2 linked regions of the Macaca fascicularis genome follow. The main gene of each other region encodes a partner of the protein of the gene in region 2 in a complex. Links are inferred from orthologs where the notes say so. Each region holds a gene or a part of one and is shown on either strand. Other genes may lie near its edges.

Region 1 (3,748 bases), on a different chromosome or scaffold from region 2:
ATCAGAAAGAGGGACACTGCTCCAGGAAGGGAACAGGCAGTAGATTGTGGCTACTACTTTGAAGTACATAAATTACATAACCAGTTCCCTATTACCAGCTGTGGTGGAAGCAGAGCCTTTGCTAGAAATGATTATGTAGTATAGCAGAGACCCACACCTGCCACCACACCTGGCTAATTTTTGTATTTTTACTAGAGATGGGGTTTCACTATGTTAGCCAGGCTGGTCTCGAACTCCTGACCTCAAGTGATCTGCCTGCCTCGGCCTCCCAAAGTGCTGGGATTAAAGGCATGAGCCACCGCGCCGGGCCCCAGAGACCCAAAGCACTGGGCTCCTTGGTTGGAAGGTTCTTGTGTCCCAAGTGTGATGAACAGACAGCTGCCAATGTCAAGGGACCATGAAGACTTGGCCAGTAGCATCTTAACAGAAACTAGAGAGATTAAAAAACAAAACAAATCAACAACAACAAGAAAACAAACCCTGCACTCTCAGACAGGATCCTTTCTGAATGTTTTGCTCTGGGCAAGACTCTAGTTTCTGTGAAAAATCTTAATAACATTTGTTAAATCCAAACATGTAGTTGCAAATGTTTACCTACTACAGCAGCCAAGTGGAAAGTCTATTGCCGCTAAATTCACTGCTTTTTACTCTTTTTCCTCCAGATTAGCCAAATAGCCTCTTTACAAATGTACACTAATCTCAATTTTAACGTTTATATTGAAGGCAAATACTAAATCTCAAAGTTAAGGAGTCCTAGACAAGAGGATTAGACGGGATAAAGCATAATGAATACACAAAATACTTCATAAATCAGTGGTTCTCAACCTTCAGCATGCACAAGAATCACATGGGGTATTTATTTGAAATGCAGTCTCATGAACTCCCTCCTGAGATATCTGGATTCAGCAGGAGTAGGATGAGGCCTAGAATCTGCATTTTAATAGCACCAAGTGCTTTTGATGCTGTAGTCAATGGACACATATTGAATATTACCGTAATACTCATTTGCTGAATGAGCGGTATGTACCAATCCTAACTATAGAAGGGCCAGTTGATTATACACGGCTCCTGGCATCAACATACGTAAGTTATGAGCTCCTTTGAACCTTCTTATGGCATTACACAACGAGTAATAATGGACCAATTTCTTTCTCTGCATCATCGCAGAATTGTACTCAATCTTTTTCTGTAACATTTCTGGAGAGGGCAGGGGGAAAAAAAGTAAAATATTTTACAAATTACAATTTTTCAGTGACTAGACTTACATCTTTTTCCTCTCCTGGACACCCAAATGGAAAGTATAAGGGATAGTAACATCTAAGGGAGGTTCTATACCTAACCCATCTATTGTACTAAGATGGCAGATGTCAATAACATGAGTAACCATAAACCTTACATAAAGTTTTGTTTTGCTCTCATCCAGTTCACTGAAGTCCTCCACCTTCCACCTTCCACCAAAAACAAAAAACAAAATAAACTTCCAGGCAATATCTTCTACTAATCTCCTACCTAGTCTACACCCTAAACTCTCTATAGGGAAAGCAGACACCCAGGATTATGATTACAGGATAGCAAATACTGAAATACTGAAAAGAACACAGGAAATATTATTGAGTGCTTAAGCTTTGCAAGGCACTGTCAAAGAATCGACTGCTTTCATTACACCCCTCCCCTCTTAAGGCCACTCAACTAGTCACCACGCTTATACCAGTAAGAGTGGCTTATAGTTTGCAAATCATTTGACGGTTTTGTAGTGCTTTCATGTGTATTATTTCACCTAATAATACATTTTTCACCTAATAATAAATTTCAACTTTAGAATTTTATTCAGTATTCTCTCATAATTTAGGGAGCACCTGGTATATGCCAGGCCTCCGAGTAATCAAGATACAGTCATCCCATCCTCAGGAATCCACAATGTAGTGGGAGTTCAGAACAAAAATGCTGGCAATTTAAACACAGAATGAGAGAGTGACATAAACGAAAAACCCAACAACCTAAGAAAAGGCAAACTTAATCTAGCCAGAGGAGGCGTGGGAAGGCTTCCCGGAGGAAGTGACATTTAAACCAATATCCGAAAGAGAACAATTTGGCAGGGGAGTTGGGACGGATAGAAGCAGGGAAATATTCCAAGTTGAAGAAAAAGCCTGTGCAAAGGCCTGGAGACAAGAGAAAACAAACCGCAGATAATGAGTACTAGAACTTAGGTAATCTACGTTCTCTCCGCCTCTTTCCACAACAGCTGGAGACTTAATCGACTGCTCCTTGCATGGACTTGGGGGCTGTTTTAACTTTTCAAATCTCCTTTAAGTGTATCATCTTGGAAGACTCTGCCAACACTTTGAAGCTGCAGAAATCACCCCCCATACCACTTCGGATTTCCGCCTACCTTGGGCGCTTCCTCAGTTACCACCGGCACCACACCTGAATCCCTCAGCTTGGCCCCAGCCTCATACCCGAACACCGCCATTTTGATGGCTCACGTGATTTGCTGGTGGGCGGGAAGTGGTGCGGGTTTACGGCTCATGCCTCTCGCTTGCAGCCCGGGCCCGCCCCCCTCAGTCAAAAGCCGCGCCCTCCATCCTGTCTGTGATTGGGCGCGGTGTCTAGAAATTACGGCCACTTATTCGCTTAGAGGAGGTCCAGGTGCCTGTGGGTCCGCCCCCATCGCCAGCAGAGTATTTCCTTCCCTTGCTATTTGTCAGTTTAGCTCCCTGTTTTCCTCGCGTCTTGTGGGGAGGATGGGGCGGCCCAAATGTTGGAATGTTACTGCGCTCCTGCCTCTCCTCAGGGCACCTCTGGTAGCTGGGAACTAGCTGCCTGCCCCTTTCAGTCCTTGAGGGAACTCGCCCCTTTGCCCTGGCCCGTGTGGTGTTAAAGCTCTGTTTCTCGGGCACCTCCTCCTCCAAACCCCCAACCAGCCGCCCAGCGCCGTCAGAGCAGCCCCGACTAGCCTCCTCTCCTCTCAGCCGTCTGACTCCTCTCCCCAGTCTGTAGTCCCCTCAATTTCCATCCTTTAGCCCCGCTTGGAAGGAGACAGGAGAGAAATTTGCCCACTACCCCCCGAGAAGACCCACTTGTCAGTCGTGTCTCAGGGTGGGGGGCACTGCAAGGCCTGGCGCTGTTTTGTGCACGTTAAATGCCCAGCAGTATCTCCCAGACCGGCAACCCCCGACCCTCCAGTCTCCGTGTCTTAGAGAAGCCAAATTCGAGAGTTATATAATTTCTAGTGCTGCTGTTGCTCCTGCCTGAAGAAACACTTCACCGCGTGGAGGGTGCAGGACATTTCAGTGCTCTTCCCTAAAAGAACGGGGCTTGGGCAGGGGTGGCCAGCGGTGGCAGAGAAATGTCTTGTCTTTTCTGCAAAAGGAAGGTGGGTAGTTTGAAGAGAGATTGAGAGAAAAGGATGTGGATGTGAAAGCCAAGCAGCTGCACTTTTTCATTTTGAGGAAATCGCGGACCGTTTGCATAGCTTATGCTTACATGTCTAATACTACTACGGCGTCTCTGAAAACACCTTTGGGGGAAGGTTTGGCTTCTCTCGAAGTCTCAGTGTTTTTCCTCGCCGGATAGGGAGCTGCTTGGATGCGAAGAGATGGCATGATGTGAATGACTCCAGTGTGAAGAAATCTGCTTCGCCAACTCATCCTGCATCAAGTGCCCATTGAGTAGCACTGTCACTTTAATGTCTCCATGCCAAGGGATTGCTTTCCTTTTTTTTCAATCCTCTCTGTTAATACATGGGAGG
Region 2 (3,648 bases):
TCCCAGCTAATTGTTTGTATTTTCTGTAGGGGTTTCACCATGTTGGTCAGGCTGGTCTTGAACTCCTGACCTCAGGTGGTCTGCCTGCCTTGGCCTCCCAAAGTGTTGGGATTACAGCCATGAGCCAGCACACTGGGCCAATTTCTGTATTTTTAGTGGAGATGGGGTTTTACCATGTTGGGCAGGCTGGTCTCCAACTCCTGACAAGTCATCTGCCTGCCTCAGATTCTCGGAGTGCTGGGATTACAGGTGTGAGCCACCGTGGTGGGCTACAATTTTTTTTTTTTTTTTTGAGATGGAGTTTCACTCTTGTTGCCTAGGCTGGAGTGCAATGGTGTGATCTCAGCTCATTGCAACCTCTGCCTCCTGGGTACAAGTGATTCTCCTGCCTCAGCCTCCCCAGTAGCTGGGATTACAGGCGCTCTCCACAACGCCCAACTCATTTTTGTATTTTTAGTAGAGATGGGGTTTCACCAGGTTGGCCAGGCTGGTCTTGAACTCCTGACCTCAAGTGATCTGCCCACCTTGGACTCCCAAAGTGCTGGGATTATAGGCGTGAGCCACCGCGCCTGGCCAACATTTTTTTAAAAAATTAGCTGGGCATGGTGGTGTGCACCTGTTGTCTCAGTTACCTTGGAGGCTGAGGTGGGAGGATCATTTCAGCCCAGGGCCCAGGAGTTCAGGGATACAATGAGCTATTGATCTTGCCACAGCGTGGCAGCCTGGGTGACAGAGCAAGACCCTGTCTCTCTCTCTTTTTTTTTTTTTTCACATGGAATTTTGCTCTTGTTGTCCAGGCTGGAGTGCAGTGGTGCGATCTCGGCTTACTGCAACCTCTGCCTCCCGGGTTCAAGTGATTCTCTTGCCTAAGGCTCCCGAGTAGCTGGGATTATAGGCGTCTGCCACCACGCCTGGATTATTTTTAGTAGAGATGGGGTTTCACCATGTTGTCAAGGCTGGTCTTGAACTCCTGACCTCAGGTGATCCATCCGCCTCGGCCTCCCAAAGTGTAGAGATTACAGGCGTGAGCCACCGCACCCGGCCTGACCCACTCTTTTGTGAAAAGAGAAAAAAAAAAAAAGATCGGGGATGGTGCGTCATTCCTGCAACCCAGCACTTTGGGAAGCTGAGGGGAGAATCACTGGATCCCAGGAGTTCAAAACCATCATGGGCAACACAGGGAGATCCATTTCTTTTTCTTTTCTTTTTTTTTTTGGGGGGACAAAGTCTCACTCTGTTGCCAGGCTGGAGTGTGCAGTGGCACGATCTTGGCTTACTGCAACCTCCTCCTCCCAGGTTCAAGAAATTCTCCTGCCCCAGCCTCCTTAGTAGCTGGGATTACAGGCACGCACCACCAGCTAATTTTTGTGTTTTTAGTAGAGACAGGGTTTCACCATGTTGGCCAGGATGGTCTTGATCTCTTGACCTCGTGATCTACCCGCGTCAGCCTCCCAAAGTGCTGGGATTACAAGTGTGAGCCACTGCGCCTGGACAGGGAGATCCATTTCTACAAAAAATTTAAAAATTAGGTGGGTGTGGTGGTGTGTGCTTGTAATCCCAGCTACTTGGGAGGCTGAGATGGGAGGATCACTTCAGAAAGTAGAGAGGCTAAAATGAGCTGTGATTGTGCCACTGCACTCCAGCCTGGGCCACAGAGAAAGACCTTGTCTCAAATAATAATGATAATAATAATAATAATAAACAAAATAAGTTAACAAATTTCAAAATACCTGATTTCTGTTGAATTTGAAATTGTGATACGTTCATTGCTATACTGATAATTCTTCAATGTGTCTTCTGTTACAGGTAGAATTGGGCTATTTGCTGAAGCTTCTTCGTAGCCCTTGGTAGCCCAGGAAGAAACTTATGTTTTGATTTTTTTGTACCATGGCTTTGTTTCACAAAGTGCTGCGTGGTACTTATATTCTCAGAAAATGCTCTAAGCCAACTTCTGCCTTGCATCCACTTTTGAGTATTCGCTTTGCAGACTATTCCAGTAGTCTTCAGAAACCAGTGGCTTCTCCTGGCAAAGCCTCCTCACAGAGGAAGACTGAAGGGGGTTTGCAAGGACATCACCAGAAAGAAGTTGCTTTGGATATAACTTGTCCTGAGGAGAAACCTGATGTTAGTTTCGATAAAGCAATTAGAGATGAAGCAATGGACCATTTTAGGCGTTTGAAGGATGAAATTGTGAATCATTGGAAGGGACCGGAAGGCCGCCCTCTGCAAGAGGCCTTGCTGGAACAAGCCAAGGTTGTCTGGCAGTTCCGCGGGAAAGAAGATTTGGATAAGTGGAGAGTGACTTCTGATAAGACGATTGGAGGCAGAAGTGAAGTGTTTTTGAAAATGGGCAAGAATAACCAAAGTGCACTGCTCTATGGAACTCTGAGCTCTGAGGCACCTCAGGACGGGGAGTCTGCCCGCAGTGGGTACTGTGCAATGATATCCAGGATTCCAAGGGTAGGTGAGGCCCAGGCGGCATCATTTTCTAGTGAACAGGGGTGAACTTCATTGTAGCATAAACTATAGAAGATAGCTTTTGTGGCCGGGCGCGGTGGCTCACGCCTGTAATCCCAGCACTTTGGGAGGCCGAGGCGGGCGGATCACAAGGTCAGGAGATGGAGACCACGGTGAAACCCCGTCTCTACTAAAAATACAAAAAAATTAGCCGGGCGCGGTTGTGGGCACCTGTAGTCCCAGCTACTCGGGAGGCTGAGGCAGGAGAATGGCGTGAACCCGGGAGGCGGAGCTTGCAGTGAGCCGAGATCGCGCCACTGCACTCCAGCCTGGGCGACAGAGCAAGACTCCGTCTCAAAAAAAAAAAAAAAGAAGATAGCTTTTGTTTCTATAAATGAAAACACCTGGCATGTTATATTTGGCGCCTCACCTGTGTTTGGAGATAAGTATTGGCACAAGTGTAAAGTGGAAGCACAAGGGGGAAGTGGTTTCTGAGGAGGAGGAGTTACTTGTTTCTGGGCATTGCTTTGGGCCAGGAACCAGCATTGTTATGTTTCAGGAATCCTGAGCGGTTAGACATTTGAAAGATTTTTGGAGAGATTTTCATCTCCTCTAACAAAGACCACAGCCTCTGTAATGGCCGGGGGTTTTATAGAGTTGATGTAGGGTCAGCCTGTGGCTTTCTTTTTTTTTTGTTTTGAAACGGAGTCTTGCTCTGTCACCCAGGCTGGAGTGCAGTGGCATGATCTTGGCTGACTGCAACTTCTGCTCTCCAGGTTCAAGTGATTCTCCTGCCTCAGCCTCCTGAGTAGCTGGGACTACTGGTGCATGCCACCATGCCTGGCTAATTTTTTGTATTTGTAGTACAGACAGGGTTTCACCATGTTGGCCAGGCTGGTCTTGAACTCCTGACCTCGGGTGATCCACGCCCCCCCCGGCTTGGCCTCCCAGAGTGCTGGGATTACAGGTGTGAGCCACTGTGCCTGGCCCAAATATTCATTTTGGAATAATGAAAATAGTAGATAACATTTATTAAGCGTGACGTGCCAGTCCTTGTGCTAAGCACTTTATATTATCCCATTTATTCCTCACAACAGTCTCCTGAGGTAAGATCATCCCAGGTTTATGGATGAGGAAACAGAGTTGGATAGATTTAGTAACTTGTCCAAAGTTACACGGATAATAAATATT

What was found. The genes of interacting proteins can lie anywhere in the genome.
Region 1: NDUFAF1 (region 2) and TMEM126B share a complex: the UniProt entries of both Homo sapiens proteins name them as parts of the mitochondrial complex. The link is inferred for Macaca fascicularis from reciprocal best matches to the Homo sapiens genes NDUFAF1 and TMEM126B.

The regions. Positions count from the first base shown.
Region 1 is NC_088388.1:84,670,058-84,673,805, reverse strand, and holds the start of TMEM126B (complex I assembly factor TMEM126B, mitochondrial), read right to left. Parts: upstream 2,482-3,748; 5' UTR 2,471-2,481; coding exon 2,390-2,470; intron 1,442-2,389; coding exon of another isoform or gene 1,397-1,441; intron 1,198-1,396; exon of another isoform or gene 431-1,197; coding exon 242-430; intron 1-241. UniProt on the Homo sapiens protein: As part of the MCIA complex, involved in the assembly of the mitochondrial complex I. Participates in constructing the membrane arm of complex I.
Region 2 is NC_088381.1:17,945,474-17,949,121, reverse strand, and holds part of NDUFAF1 (complex I intermediate-associated protein 30, mitochondrial), read left to right. Parts: intron 1-1,806; 5' UTR 1,807-1,887; coding exon 1,888-2,460; intron 2,461-3,648. UniProt on the Homo sapiens protein: As part of the MCIA complex, involved in the assembly of the mitochondrial complex I.